2 linked regions of the Stegostoma tigrinum genome follow. The protein of the gene in region 1 purifies or fractionates together with the protein of each later gene. This does not show direct contact. Links are inferred from orthologs where the notes say so. Each region holds a gene or a part of one and is shown in the gene's direction. Other genes may lie near its edges.

Region 1 (8,186 bases):
TAATGGAAAAGCATATGTTGTATTACTGCTGCCATTCTTTCACTTATTCAATAAATATGTTTTGTAATTAAGGTATAGAAGACAAAAAAAGTGCATTGTTATGCTCCTCCTTTCTAAGATGTGAATGATGAACTGATGAACTATAATCATGAAAGAAATCTTAAAAACAACCACCTCCAATGAACGAAAACACACTCTTTATTGATGCACAGGGCATACTTTAAATTTATCTTGATCATTGAGATGCAGAGAACTAGATATATACTAAGAACTAACCAACTAAGAATCATGGAAGCCAAAAAGTACAACACTGATACTTGTAGCATCACTGACGATGTATTACCATATTGCAGGAGTACTGCATTGTTGGAGGTGCCAGCCTGCAAATAAAAAGTTAAACCATGGTGGCATCTGTCAATTCTTTGATTCAAAAGGGCATTAAAATCTCATACCACAACTTGAAGAAAAGTAAGTTTTTCTATAATCATTCTCTTGACCAGCATTAGGAATGAGAGGTCAATTGGTTATTCATCTGTTATTCATCTGTCAAACATTAATATGCCTAAAATTGCTGCACTTTTCGTCTACATGTACTGGCAACTCATTTAAAAAAAATCTACATATGAAGAGATAGTAAGAACTGCAGGAAATGAAGTAATGCCCATAGAAGTGTTTGGCCTGGTTAAAAAAAAACTTCAGCATTTTCACTATTACTTTTATTTGCTTGAAACTACTTCCGTTGGAGATTACAGGTTCAGCAACCGAACTATTGCCAAGAAAAACAATTGGATAGTGGCATTAGACAAGGCAGGAAATTTGCAATTGAAGCTGATGTCTTTCATCTGTTTTATTTAAAATGACAGTTTCTTAGAAGAACCAAAACTTTTTGTATTTATTTTTACTTATAGCTGTCTTAGATTAAACAAACAAGTATCAATAAGCATTAGCCACATAAAATGGTAGGTAAATTTAGACCAATCTAAATCCAATTTATTTTTCTAACCAGTTTTGATAGTTTTGTATGCTGAGGTTTCACTCCAAGAGATACAAAGGCAGAAATTATAACGGTGAATTCTAAGACTTGATGAAATTGTTCAATGTTGTTTTCTGTCTTAGCAAAACAATGCACATGGCAAAACTAACAAACTAGACTATAACATGGATTTTTTTTATACATTACCATGTTGACTTTGCATTGTGCATGTTGAAAAAGTAGAAAAATTGTTTCTTTCTTAGAGTTGCTATATAAGTACTTTAATATGAATAAGTTCAGTGGAATTTTTTTTCATTGTAGTTGTGGTGATTAACCAAAGGCGGCTTAGAGGAAATGCAAGAATTTACAAATTATTTTCTTTACATGTGGAATCTTTTAATTTTATTTAAATTGGGAACACACTGCTTGTTTTCTCCACCATTCTTTATTTTGTATCAAAATTGAGTAATAAAATTAAAATGCATTACAGGTTGGGAGGATGTTTTCAAGATCAGAAAAAGGAGTGAACTTAATCTAAATGTAGTTATTTAACACCAAAGATACAATATATAAAACAGGTTTTCCACAGTCAGTTAATTTAGATAGTATTGCCAAACACAAATGCAAGTTTTTTTGTTAGGTATTGTTTTAGCAAAACATATTATGTTTTAAAAATATTGTATGGGATGTGGACAACATAGAAGTGGGAATTTGAAATACAAACAGATCAGCTATGACCTTATTGAATGGGAATGCAAGTTCAAGGGGCCAAATGGCCTGCTGCAGCACCTATTTTGTTTGTTTATATATTGAACCATCCTTCATAACTTGGAGTAATTCTGAACATAGGATGTAGGGAAGATCATTGGTGTGGCTAAGGACTGCTCTGAGAAATGCCTCAGTAAAAATAGGGATCATTGGAGAAATTACTCTGACTACAAGTTGACAAATCCTTAGGACCCAATGACCTTCGCCCTAATGTTGAGGTGGATGGCTAGAGATAGTGGAAGCATTGGGAATCATCTCTCAAATTCTACTAATTATATAATGATGCCTGCCTGCCTCTATAACAAATGTAACCCCATTGTTTAAGGAAAGTAGGGAAGAGATGACACAGAACTAGATGTTAGTTTGACATAAGTAATTGGGAAAATAAAGGATGTGATTACTGAATATTTAGAAAATCATCATCTGATTAGACAATGTGTAGCTATGAATGAAAGATCATGTTTGACAAATCTGATAAAGAGTATTGTTCATATTATTAGCAAAGTTGATTAACAGGAACCAGTGGGTGTGGCTTTCGTTTGAACTTTATTAAAAAAATTCCTGAAAACTCAACACAGGTCAGTAATCAAAATTTAAAGGTGCATGATATTGGAGGGAATATATTAGGATGGACTGAAGATCAGTCAACAGGCAGATGAAGTAACTCCCCTGGGGTCCAGTATCCAGTCACCAAGTCACCTTTATTTCTATATGGAGAACCCTTGACACTGATCCAGCTCCCTCAAACAGTTCTCAATTAACAGGACACTCCTGTTTATAATCTATGTACTAGGGCTCCTTGGCTGGACCAGAGTAACAGCCCCAGTCAGGGAACTAAGGTCCACCTGGCTGACCTTGTTACAATCTCTGCTATAATCTGAGGACATGGGCCCATTCTTATACATTTTAGCACCAGGTCAGGTTCCTCCAACTCTGCCTCTGGTATGGACAATATGTAATACACAGGTAGCTCACCTCTTACACGTGGACAATTTCATAAGAAATGCATTTTCTTCACCTAGCAAAGGGATTGAGGCAGTGATATACACTATGTCCATCTCAGATTCTTGGGTATTTTCACCTCTTGATGGCAAGCAAGACCCCTGGGGTTTCAGAACAGTCAGTAAGGCTGTCGAGAAGCTGGGCACATTTTGCTCCCACACTGTTAGCTTTCATATGATCCACATGGTCATTCAAGACCATCACACACTAGTCCATTCTGCAATCACCAACATCACCACATGCATCCCAAACCATGGCACCTTCCCAAGTAACTGCAGAAAGTGCAACATCTGCCTCTTCACCTACTCTTTGCTCATTATCCAAGGGCCTAAACAGTCTTCCCAGGTGAAGCAGCATTTCACCTGTACCTCCTCCAATCTTGTGCATTGTATTCTCTGCACCCAGCATAGTCCCTTCTACATTAGGGAAACCAAGCACAAACTGGGTGACTACTCTGCAGAACACCTTGGGTTTCTGCACAAGCATGACCCCAAACTTCCCATAGCCAGCCATTTTAACACCACATCCTGCTCACATGCCTGCATGTCAGTCCTCAGCATGTTGCAGTATTCTAGTGAATCACAACGTACACTGGAGGAACAACATCTCATCCTATCTTCAGAATAGGTATCTTACAGCCTTCTGGACTTTACACTGGGTTCATCACCTTCAAACTATGAACCATTTCTTCCATTTTAGCATGTTGCATTCTGCTACCATGTCCTCTGTCCGGTAATCTCACGTTAGTGGGACTGTCAGCCCTTTCAAGTCCGGCAGGAGACACACCATTGTTCTGCCATTCTAACCACTTAACCTAAACTACCAAGATTTTTTTTCCTCTACTAACATTCCAAATCCACGACCCCCACAACCCACCTTAGCCTAAACTATGGCTTAAATGCTGTCCCCTACGCTCTCCAGCTCTGAAGAAGACATTTAGACTCAAAACGTTAGCCTGACCCAAATACTACGTTACCTATCCCATTCTATGATTGTGCGCAGCGTTAATTCAACTATTAAAAAAATGAGAAAGAGCTAGGTCTTTCAAAAGCTGAGCTGTATGCATCTGTGGTGTCAGCACCCGTTTTGTCACCCTGCTATCAAAATTTGATTTACCGCTAAACGCTCCAATATCTACTTTTCTCACACCGCCCAGGCCATAGTGAATCGTAATCCATTCATCCTACTAAGATTTTTTTTAACGCAAGTTATCAGGCTTATCAACTTATTGGCCAATAGGAATCACGTGATAGATCATTTGGCCATACTCTCATTGGTTAATTGTAATCATATAGCACGATCTCCCGCGTTTTTTTAATAATTGGTTGAGACTTTTTGCACTTTTGGTGCTATTCTATGCTCAGTCGGAGCAGGAGTGTTTCGTGCAGTAGTGGACTTCGACTGAAGCTGCGAGGCTGATCAAACTTGTTGCATTATGCATTTCCCTTCATTCGTGTAACCACAATTTATTTCCATTACGAGGAATTTTCCAACCAGCCAAGCAAAACAACCAACTGCTGTCCTCAACAATCGTTGGTTTGCAACTCCAGTAATTTGACACATTCGGAACATTTCAAGTACCCTAGTTTATTTATAGACAATCTTATGGCAATTTTAATTCAAAATCGAAGCGATAAAAACACGGCCGAGGCGGGAAGAATTAAGTATAAACACTTTGAAGGCAAAAGATAACATGTACAATCCGTAGTGGTACTTTGAGGTGATAATTTTCTTCCACTTTTGCGAATGACCTCTGGTTGTCTTAAGTGTGGCAATCCCCCAACCTTGGGTTTCAAAAAGTAACTTTTTTTTCAGGCCTCGGTAAACTGTTCCTGGGGATTTTTAAATGGGAGCGTTTGGTTCTGCAATAGCCTCACACTTTACTGCTAACATGAAGTAGGAACAGCGGGAGAGATGGATAACGCTCGATCTTTCGCTTAGCGAGGGGGGAGAACAGAAAAATAGCGTTTGTGCAGGGGGAGGGAAGCACCGCCCGCCCGTTATTCGAAGCCTAGCAAAAATGCAGTCAGATTCAAGGGGGAGCGGCCAGTCGCTGATGTGGAGGAGCGGGGACGTTGTGTTTGTGTGAGAGAGTAGGGGCAGCACCCACCCCAGGCTGAATCTCCCCATTCCCGCACCCCTCCTCTCGCGCGCGCGCCCCCCCCCCCCCCCCCGGTTGCTGCCCCTGCACGGGGTTTCCGCGATCGCTCGGGTCATGCGCAGGGGCGTGTCCGGCCTCTGATTGAAAAGAGTTTTTTTTCTCTTCCACCAAACCCCCCCAACTCCCCTCCCCCCACACCAGTAACACCACCACCCACAACCCCCTCCCCCCCGTCCCCAACAACAGCGGCAAAAGGTTCGCGTTTCTACCGCTATCTTACGTACTGTTCCTCGCACTCAAATCTCCATTAAAAGTCCGCCTTTCTCGCCCTGACACATTTGCGGGCGCAATATGAAGCGCTCCGTACCAAGAAGACGACATATTAAGCGTTGAACCGTGGGCACGGAACGGCATTTACCAGGCGCTTCGGTGCTATTTGTAATTATTTGTGTCCCGGAAAGTGATTTCGCTTCCCCCCCCCTTCTCTGCCTCTCCCTGCCCGACTTTGCATTCAAGGTAAATGGCGTTTGTTTTTACGCGTTTCTGGATATTCGGTTATTTGCGGGTTGGAAAGTGAAGCCGTGAGCTTTTGGGTCGCGCCGCTGCCATCGGCCGCGAGTGAAACGCACTCAGATAAGCCGTTAGAGGTCTGTAATTAATATGCTTTGGCGGGGGGGGAATGGAGAAGGTCGCTTGTTGTGGAAATAGTCGCCATCTTGTTCTACAGTAAATTCTCTCCGTCCAGCCGAACTGGGGTGGAGCCAAGCACGGTAAGTCCCGCCTTCTCCAATTGGTCAGTCGAGGGTAAGCTGTTTCTTGATTGGCGCTGAGTGAAGATGAACCCTGGCGTCTATTGGCTGGAGCGCCTATCAATTTTGCACGCGCCTATTAGTGGGTCGGTTGAGTCGTTGCTTGGTGTAGGCTTTGGGGGAGGGGGCGAGTGTATTGATGGTGGGTCGGTTGATGAAAAGAGATTCTAGAAAATTCTTCGTGCTGTTTGGGAGGGAGGTGGCGAGGGGTTCACGCCGGGAGTGGAGGGGTGGTTTGCTGAAACATGGTTTCAGGTGGGTGTTATTGTTTAGGGGTTGAAGTATACATTTGTTGGGGGGGGGTGGGGAGGGGAGAGAGTTGGAAAGGTATGGGAATATGAGCCTTATGGCGGCTGGACTAGGTGTCCATTGCTGCCAAGAGGGACTTTCAAATGGGCCCGGGAAACTAGTTTGCTGCGGTGACGTCAGCCACCTTTTGAACCCCCTCCCCGTCTCGACGTCATCGAACAGCTGAGCTGGCACGAGTGTCCAGTTGAGTTGGTGTCAGAGCCCGACACAGTGCAATGGGGGAAACAGACAAAGGACTGAGTTGGGGTCCTCCGGCCACGTCAACAATGTCCAACCCCTAGTAATGTGACAGCGGGGTCTAACTTGTGGAATAAAGTACACCATTAGTACCTACTATACATGAACCGGACACGTTCAGCGGTAACCCGATTTAAATCGAGCGCCCGTTTTCGCGCAGTGTCTTCTGCTCACGAAGGACTTGTGATGTCTTGAACGCTCGAGTTTTGTTTTTGGGCCTTCTTTTCATTTGTATTTCGTTTCATTTCGTTTGTAGTGAGGTAAACAAAATGAACAGGCAATTCAGAACATGTACAGCCCGTACTTTAAATAAAATAATCCAGATTTATTGATAAATAGCGACGTTAATGGGATCCTGGACCTAAGTAAATTTGAATGAAGTGGCTAAGTTCGTAAAATCTCTGTACAGATGTCATAAGCAGTTCGATTTACTATTTTACTGACGATTTGTATTGATGGGCAAAGCAACATGTTGTAGAAGATATTTCAAAATAATATAAACCAATTGAAACTCCTTTTTTCTGACTTTTGCTCATGATTTTTAAAAAAAATCTATGCGAGTAACTGAATTATGTTTCAAAGAATCTTTTGCTTGAAAGGAGTGCCTTAGCTATTGAATGCGAAGAAAACAAGATGTAGAGCTGGATGAACACAGTAGGCCAAGCAGCGTGAGATGAGCAGGAAGGCTGACGTTTTGGGCCTAGACCCTTCCTCAGAAACCTTCTGCTCCTCTCGCTGCTTGGCCTGCTGTGTTCATCCACCTCTACATCTTGTTATCTCAGAATCTCCAGCATCTGCAGTTCCTGTTATCTATTGAATGCTAATATGTCTTTTTAATCATTTCTAAAGTACTTAACTGAATTGTGCAAACAACTTGTGTATATGGCTTTTAAACTTTTTTTGTAGTGAGAGGTTCTAGAAATAATATCCTGTGCAGAAATCACTGGGAAGTATTCCTTTATTTTAAAAGTAATATAAAGTATTTACTTATCTCCATTTCTGCTCTGCATTGGTGGTGGTAGTAGTGTCTTTAGTTGTGAGCTAGAAGGCCTCTTGCATGATTAAAATCTGAACAGATTGATTAGAAAAGTCTGTAAAACACTGTAACTTGCAAAAAGCCATCTGCAACAATGTATATCATGTGATCCATTTGCCCAACAATGTTTCCTACATCTGTGAATTACCTCTAGTTATTTATATTAAGAAGGAAATTGTGAAAATAGAGATCTCTACGTTTGCAAGTCAATTAATTTATAGTGTTAATGAAATAACTGGATTTTAATATGCCAATACAAGTACAGTGTAGTTGGTGCAACAACAAAAACATTCCCCTCTTTGATTTCCTGCTCGAGGTTGTGTTTGGTTCCGATACTTGGATGTAGAGTATGAAGAGAATTTCTGTTTGCCTTTCAGTCTGATTTTTTGTGATGTTTTCCTTCAGCTGTTTTATTTTTTGATAGAGAAGTAGAAAGGTTTAGTCAACATTTTATGACCTGTTTGTAACTGCTTGTGACTACATGTATGCTATAAGTAGAGAAAAATCAGAAAAATCAAAGGCATCATTACTACCCCGTTCTGAATGCTGAAGTTAAAACTTTAATAGCCATGTGCTGTGCTATGGATTGTAAGTACTGTTGCAATTTTTAACATGTTGGAAAATTTTCTTCTTCGCACTAAATGGAAGTGACTTTGTTAGAGATGCTGATTAGACATTTTAAGTTGAACAACTGTGATTTTTACATATAAGATAGATGCATGATATGCGTAGGTGTGTATAGTTTATCAAACAGGCCTGGGTTTGCAGATTAAAGGATAAGTCCTGTTGAGTTTTTGTGATGGTGGTGAGAAGTTTTCATACTCGGGATTATAGTGATCGTTCTGTCTGTTGAGGAAATGGGCTATCTGTACATAAACCTAAAGGGAGTTTGTAGTTAAGGTGAAAATGAGGTGGGGGAATTTCCATTATTTATGTAATTCCCCATATGAA
Region 2 (7,740 bases), on another chromosome or scaffold:
AGTGGGGGAAGGGGAGATTTTGAAACTGGTGAAGTCCACATTGATACCATATGGCTGCAGGGTTCCCAGGCGGAATATGAGTTGCTGTTCCTGCAACCTTCGGGTGGCATCATTGTGGCAGTGCAGGAGGCCCATGATGGACATGTCATCAAGAGAATGGGAGGGGGAGTGGAAATGGTTTGCGACTGGGAGGTGCAGTTGTTTGTTGCGAACTGAGCGGAGGTGTTCTGCAAAGCGGTCCCCAAGCCTCCGCTTGGTTTCCCCAATGTAGAGGAAGCCACACCGGGTACAGCGGATGCAGTATACCACATTGGCAGATGTGCAGGTGAACCTCTGCTTAATGTGGAATGTCATCTTGGGGCCTGGGATGGGGGTGAGGGAGGAGGTGTGGGGACAAGTGTAGCATTTCCTGCGGTTGCAGGGGAAGGTGCTGGGTGTGGTGGGGTTGGAGGGCAGTGTGGAGCGAACAAGGGAGTCACGGAGAGAGTGGTCTCTCCGGAAAGCAGACAGGGGTGGGGATGGAAAAATGTCTTGGGTGGTGGGGTCGGATTGTAAATGGCGGAAGTGTCGGAGGATGATGCGTTGTATCCGGAGGTTGGTAGGGTGGTGTGTGAGAACGAGGGGGATCCTCTTGGGGCGGTTGTGGCGGGGGCGGGGTGTGAGGGATGTGTCGCGGGAAATGCGGGAGACGCGGTCAAGGGCGTTCTCAATCACCGTGGGGGGGAAGTTGCGGTCCTTGAAGAACTTGGACATCTGGGATGTGCGGGAGTGGAATGTCTTATCCTGGGAGCAGATGCGGCGGAGGCGGAGGAATTGGGAATAGGGGATGGAATTTTTGCAGGAGGGTGGGTGGGAGGAGGTGTATTCTAGGTAGCTGTGGGAGTCGGTGGGCTTGAAATGGACATCAGTTACAAGCTGGTTGCCTGAGATGGAGACTGAGAGGTCCAGGAAGGTGAGGGATGTGCTGGAGATGGCCCAGGTGAACTGAAGGTTGGGGTGGAAGGTGTTGGTGAAGTGGATGAACTGTTTGAGCTCCTCTGGGGAGCAAGAGGCGGCGCCGATACAGTCATCAATGTACCGGAGGAAGAGGTGGGGTTTGGGGCCTGTGTAGGTGCGGAAGATGGACTGTTCCACGTAACCTACAAAGAGGCAGGCATAGCTGGGGCCCATGCGGGTGCCCATGGCCACCCCCTTAGTCTGTAGGAAGTGGGAGGAGTCAAAAGAGAAGTTGTTGAGTGTGAGGACGAGTTCCGCTAGGCGGATGAGAGTGTCGGTGGAGGGGGCCTGGTCGGGCCTGCGGGACAGGAAGAAGCGGAGGGCCTTGAGGCCATCTCCATGCGGAATGCAGGTGTACAGGGACTGGACGTCCATGGTGAATATGAGGTGTTGGGGGCCAGGGAATTGGAAGTTCTGGAGGAGGTGGAGGGCGTGGGTGGTGTCACGGACATAGGTGGGGAGTTCCTGGACCAAAGGGGAGAAAATGGAGTCCAGATAGGTGGAGATGAGTTCGGTGGGGCAGGAGCAGGCTGAGACGATGGGTCGACCAGGGCAGGCAGGTTTGTGGATTTTGGGAAGGAGATAGAAACGGGCCGTGCGGGGTTGGGGAACAATGAGGTTGGAGGCTGTGGGTGGGAGGTCCCCTGAGGTGATGAGGTCATGAATGGTGTTGGAGATGATGGTTTGGTGCTCGGGTGTGGGGTCATGATCGAGGAGGCGGTAGGAGGTGGTGTCGGAGAGTTGGCGTCTGGCCTCGGCGATGTAGAGGTCAGTACGCCATACTACCACTGCGCCACCCTTGTCTGCGGGTTTGATGGTGAGGTTGGGGTTGGAGCGGAGGGCTGCCCGTTCTGCGGGGGAGAGGTTGGAGTGGGTGAGAGGGGTGGAGAGGTTGAGGCGGTTAATGTCTCGACGGCAGTTGGAGATGAAGAGGTCGAGGGAGGGTAGGAGGCCGCCTGGGAACCCTGCAGCCATATGGTATCAATGTGGACTTCACCAGTTTCAAAATCTCCCCTTCCCCCACTGCATCCCTAAACCAGCCCAGTTCATCCCCTCCCCCCACTGCACCACACAACCAGCCCAGCTCTTCCCCCCCACCCACTGCATCCCAAAACCAGTCCAACCTGTCTCTGCCTACCTAACCGGTTCTTCCTCTCACCCATCCCTTCCTCCCACCCCAAGCCGCACCCCCAGCTACCTACTAACCTCATCCCACCTCCTTGACCTGTCCGTCTTCCCTGGACTGACCTATCCCCTCCCTACCTCCCCACCCACACCTTCTCCACCTATCTTCTTTACTCTCCATCTTCGGTCCGCCTCCCCCTCTCTCCCTATTTATTCCAGTTCCCTCCCCCCATCCCCCTCTCTGATGAAGGGTCTAGGCCCGAAACGTCAGCTTTTGTGCTCCTGAGATGCTGCTTGGCCTGCTGTGTTCATCCAGCCTCACATTTTATTATCTTGGAATCTCCAGCATCTGCAGTTCCCATTATCTCTGATACTACGTTCAAAAAGATTGTTATCTTAAAAGGCCAGCAGGAGGCATTCAAAATCTAATTTATTATGTCAATTTGAAATGAGACTTTCAAGTTTTGTATTCTTTTTTAGGACCTATGTGTAACGACGAAAGGTTTTTTTCGAAGAATAAACTGCACACAACAAATAAGGGCCCAAACCCAAGGGGATTGCAATCTTGCAAAGGCAAAGATACTATGAAAATATTCTATCTTCCTAAGATTAGGATTATTTCAGTGACTTGGAGACAAATAAGGACTGCAGTTGCCAGAAGCCAGAGTTTATAGGTGTAAATCTGAAAAAGCATAGCAGGTCAGAGAGCATCCAAGCAGCAGGTATAACTAAAAGTTTGGCCTGAAATGTTCAATTATCAGTTCCTCGGATGCTGTCTTACCTGCTGTGCTTTTCCAGTCTCACAGCTACAGACCATAGTTATTTCAGTCTTTTCTCCAAGGTTAGAAGATAAACAGGCAAATAGCCAACCTATCTTAATTTATCACCTATTAAATAATCATACATTTTTGCTGCTACTACCGTACAAGAAAAACAATTTATATTTATATAGTGTCCCTAATCCAGTAAAACATCTCAAGACACTTCATAGGAGTGCCAACAAACAAAATTTGACATAGAGCTACCTATCAGGACATGTGACCCAAAGACATTTCATTTTTCGGAACATTTGTAAGGAAGACAGAGGTACGGAGGTTCCAGTGGCCGGGGCCCAGGAAGCTGAAAGCATGACCACCAGTGACAGTAATTAAAATCTGAGTATGCAGAACACGTGAACAGAATTTGAGAAGGTGACAGTGAGAGACAGAGCCAAGGAAGAATTAAAACAAAGACCAGAATTTTAAATTTAAGGTGTTTGGCCTACATTTACTTACAGATAAGCAATGAGTACAGGACTCATACATACGGTCTGGATGCAAGTTAGGAAAAGAGCAACAGTTTTACATGAGTTCAGGTTGGGAAGTGTCAAAGGTGTGAGACTGGCTCAGAGACCTTCTGATTGACAACTTGCCATCAGCTGATGGAAGTCTGAAGTCACATCAATGTGCTATTCGCAACAATGATCTGATGGTCACATTTGTTGAAAGTATTGTTGGGAAAACAGTGCTACAGCTTTCCAAGACTCCAAAAGGTAGAATAGATTCTCAGTCATTATTATTTGGGCTGTCTGAATTTAAGATGATTTAAAGGAAGCTAAATAGAAACATACTCTATCAAATAGAAGGCACACAATGCCAAATTCAACACTGATTTCCCCTTAATTCTCACCAGTATAGTACTGAGATTGTCCATCGAGTCCTAGGACTGAATTATTTCTAATTCCTACAAAAAGTGAGTTAAATTTTTGCTTAATCTTACCCATTAAGATGATAAAATTACAGATGGTCTCCTGCATCTGTAGATAATACAGTGGATGCCAGAATTCTGAAGGATTATCAAACTAAAACATTGACTTTACTTGACCCTCTGCTGCTGCCGGAAGACAGAGTTTTTTCAGCATTTGCAGTTTTAATTTCTGAACTACCATGTCTATGTATGTATAAAGTAGGCTAAACATGGATGTCCACTTGGGCACAGGGAAACAACAAAATAAAACAGAGTTGCAGATGATGGAAATTTGAAATAAGAACAGAAGTTGCTGGAAACACTCAACAAGTCTGGCAGCATCTGTGGAGACAGAAACAGAGTTAATGTTTTGAGTCTGGTATGACTTCTCTTCAGGAGGATTATTCTAATTTGCAGCTCCGTTTCTAACCCCGCTTCTCTGAACCATCCCGACGAAGATCGAGGAAAGTTTGAGAAATAGACATAACAAGATGAAACCCTTCTGGAGAAAAGTCCAGAACCGAAACATCAGCTTTCCGGCTCCTCTGCTGCTTGGCCTGCCGCGTTCATCCAGCTCTACATCTTGTTACCTCAGATTCTCCAGCATCTGCAGTTCCTACTTTCTCTGAACCAAGTTTGAGAAATATCTGCCTCAGCACCCGCTTGACAATAAAACACCCGCCCACCCACGCACGCACGTTAAAAGACCATCGGCCAGAAGCGTGAACATTGCTGTTTGTCTCTACCGGTGCTGCCTTAGTGCTAATGAGAGCTTCCAGCCTCGGCCAGCTAATTTGGTGCACACTCCGCTCCGGTCCCCCGGCCCCGTCCCACCAAGAGGAACTGAAAGCGCGGAGCAGCCGGAACACCACTGCTATTACCTTCCGCTCGGACCGGAAGTGGCGGAAAACAACAACGGCCAACGGCGCGAGTGGTTCGGGATTGTATTTTTTTGTGAAGAAGCGGAGTCGGTCCTGGGGACAGCGAGTAGTGGCTTACTGAGGTGTAAGGGGAGCAGGATGCCGCGGAGAAAGGTGAGCGTTCCTGTAGGCCGCGGCTGAATTACAATCTCACCCTCCATTCCCTGGGTGGCAGGATTTATTGTAATCCTCTCGCCGCCACCATTCTCCATCCTCCTCCTCCCCGGTGACTTGTTTTTCTGCCGGAATCTCAGGGAGAGGGAAGGCTCAAGGTCTGACTCACCCCTTGACGGGCCGGACATGCCATTTTAAGGGAAGGGGAGAGAGGAGACGGGATGGGACGGAGCTTCTCTCGTTTCCTGCCGGCCCCATGGAAAATACGAGAAACCGCTGCTTGGCGCCGGGCCTGCCAAGGTCCCAGTGGCGCGCGCGGACCCGCCCCTCGCTCATTCTATTGGCAGCGACCTCTGTCAATCAAGGCTATGCCGGCGTTCCCGCCATATGATTGGCTGGCGGATAGTCGCCGCCCCGCCCCCGGGTCTGTTGGAGGGTGGAAGCGGTTTGTGCAAAAGCAACAGTGGCAGCTGCTTCTGGGCAGTGGGGGGCTGGGTCAGCCGAAACAAGACAAGGCACCACACCACGCCACCGAACGTAGTTACAGTTCGGTTGACTGACTAGTGATAAGCGATCAGCATTGTCGCACAGTTAGAATTTGTTGTCTGCTACCAACATAACCTAATACAGCGCGCTTTAATCTATTGCTAAATAAGAACCAAAAGAACTGAGGATGCTGTAAATCAGGAACAAAAACAAAGTTGCTGGAAAGGCTAAGCAGGTCTGGCAGCATCTATGAAGGGAAAAAAAAGTTAAAATTCTGAGGAAGACTGACTGGGCCCGAAACGTTAACTTTTTTTTCCTTCTCAGATGCTGCCAGACCAGCTGATCTTTTCCAGCAACTTCTGTTTAGTTTGAACCATTGCTGTCTGTACTGGGACCCAGTAATAAATGACAGTGGTAAAGGAGAAGCCAGTGCTTAGGTTAATTTAATTAATTCAATACAGTAGGTTTTCTTCATATTTCTGATTGCTGTCAGTACTGTATGATTACTGTGAGCCTTTCCCTTGATGCGCCTTCCTTTGACAATTTGGTTCTTCAGTTGTAAAGTGAAAATAAAGAGTGTCTTTCACAGCCTCCGGAGGTTCCCAAATATGTACAGCCGTTGAACTACTTTTGAAATGCAATCACTAAGAAACACCCAAGTGTGAGCTCAGCAAGCCGTCACGAATAGCAGAATAGTTCATTTATTTTCTGCGATGTTGTTTGAGGGATAGTATTGGCCAGGATGCTGGGGATAATCCCTTGTTCTTTGTTAGAGTTGATGGAGCATTTACTGTTGTATCCAAACAACAGCACTTCCTCAGTACTGCAGGTGATTAACGGTGTTGCATTCACGTGTTTGGCATGGATCGTGCTGCTTGATATGTTGCCAATTTGTAATTTATCTAATAGCAGTCTTCGTTGGAGTTAAAATGGTTCTGAAATGACACTAGAATTATCAGGCTGCCACAGTAACTGGTGCAATTCTTGTTAGATAAAAGTGATTCTGTGGGTGTAAGGTTGATTGGCTGGGCCAGCATTTATCGTTCATTCCTAAGTGCAATCGAAAAGGTTAGCTGCCTTCTTGAACCACAGCAGTCCATTTGCTGATGTACTTTGACCCAATGCCACTGAATGAATGGCAAAATTGTTCCAAGACATGGCGGAAGGTAAGTTGGAGGGCAAGTTGCAGATATTGGTGCTCCCAGGTACCTGCTGCCCTTGCACATCTAGATGATAACGATCTTGGGTTTGGAAGGAGCTGTCTATGGAGACCTGGTGAACTTTTGCAGGAGATTCTGTGTAGTGCTGTGCGTCTGTGGTAGAGGGAGTGAATATTTACGGATATGGTGCCAATCAGGTTGGCTTCTAATTCTTGGATGGTGTCAAACATATTGGGTGGTGTTGGATCTGTACTTATCCAGGCAAGCTAAGAGTATTTCAATATACTCCTGACTTGTGCTTTGTAGATGATAAACGGTCTTTGAGGAAACTTAAGTAAGCTATTCGCTGCAAGATCCCTAGCATCTGATCTGCTCTAACAGCCACAATATTTGTGTGACTGGTTCAGTTTTCAGTGAGTGCTTACCCCAGGATGATGCTAGTAGGGAATTCATTGATGGTTAGATTCTGTCAATGAGATGTTCATTTCCTAGCATTAGTTTGACATGAATGCTACTTCTCACTTATCATCCCAAGCCTGGATATCACCCAGATCTTGCTGAATTTGATCTGGAGGTGCCAGTATTTGACCGGGGTGAACAAGGTCAGAAATCAGATGCCACCAGATTATTATCAGGTGAAGGCAACGTTGTAAAACCTTAACCTTGGTCTATAATCTGCTGTCGTTTGATTTCTGAACTTGCTGTATTTGGGCAAGAACTTCTTCAGTGTGTGAGGTATCACGTATATGTTGCTGAACATTATTTAATCTTGAGTAAACATCTGTGTCTGATTTCATATTGGGAGGAAGGTTCTTAACGAAGCAGTTGAAGATGATTGGACCTAGAACACTATGCTAAGAAACTTCAGGCTTCTTGAGCTGTCGAACTGGTGTCCCTAATTCTGGGCCTGAGACCTGGGTATAAGTCCCACTTGCTCTGGAGGTGTGTCATAAGATGTCTGATCAAGTTAATTAAAAAAATCTACCCTGCAAGTCCTGCAATGATGCCCTTGAGCTGAAATGACTGACCTCCAACAATGACAGCTATATTTCTTTTTGGTGACAATGACTCAGACTAGTGGCAAGTTGCCTCTGATTGTCGTTGATATTAGTTTTGATATGGCTCCTTAGTTTAACACACTGTCGGACATGGCCTTGATGTCAAGGGCTGTCACTCTTACCTCACCTCACCTCTGGAACTCATCTCCTTTATCC

Evidence for each region.
Region 2: the proteins of bromodomain and PHD finger-containing protein 3-like (region 1) and kat7b purify together in Homo sapiens (affinity purification with mass spectrometry; 3 studies listed by BioGRID and IntAct, counting the BioPlex papers as one, with this or other methods). This does not show direct contact. The link is inferred for Stegostoma tigrinum from reciprocal best matches to the Homo sapiens genes BRPF3 and KAT7.

Annotation. Positions count from the first base shown.
Region 1 is NC_081374.1:26,928,438-26,936,623, reverse strand, and holds the start of bromodomain and PHD finger-containing protein 3-like, read left to right. Parts: upstream 1-5,077; 5' UTR 5,078-5,360; intron 5,361-5,508; exon of another isoform or gene 5,509-5,614; intron 5,615-5,840; exon of another isoform or gene 5,841-5,908; intron 5,909-8,186. UniProt on the Homo sapiens protein: Scaffold subunit of various histone acetyltransferase (HAT) complexes, such as the MOZ/MORF and HBO1 complexes, which have a histone H3 acetyltransferase activity.
Region 2 is NC_081384.1:23,490,492-23,498,231, reverse strand, and holds the start of kat7b (histone acetyltransferase KAT7), read left to right. Parts: upstream 1-4,716; 5' UTR 4,717-4,865; coding exon of another isoform or gene 4,866-4,880; intron 4,881-7,740. UniProt on the Homo sapiens protein: Catalytic subunit of histone acetyltransferase HBO1 complexes, which specifically mediate acetylation of histone H3 at 'Lys-14' (H3K14ac), thereby regulating various processes, such as gene transcription, protein ubiquitination, immune regulation, stem cell pluripotent and self-renewal maintenance and embryonic development.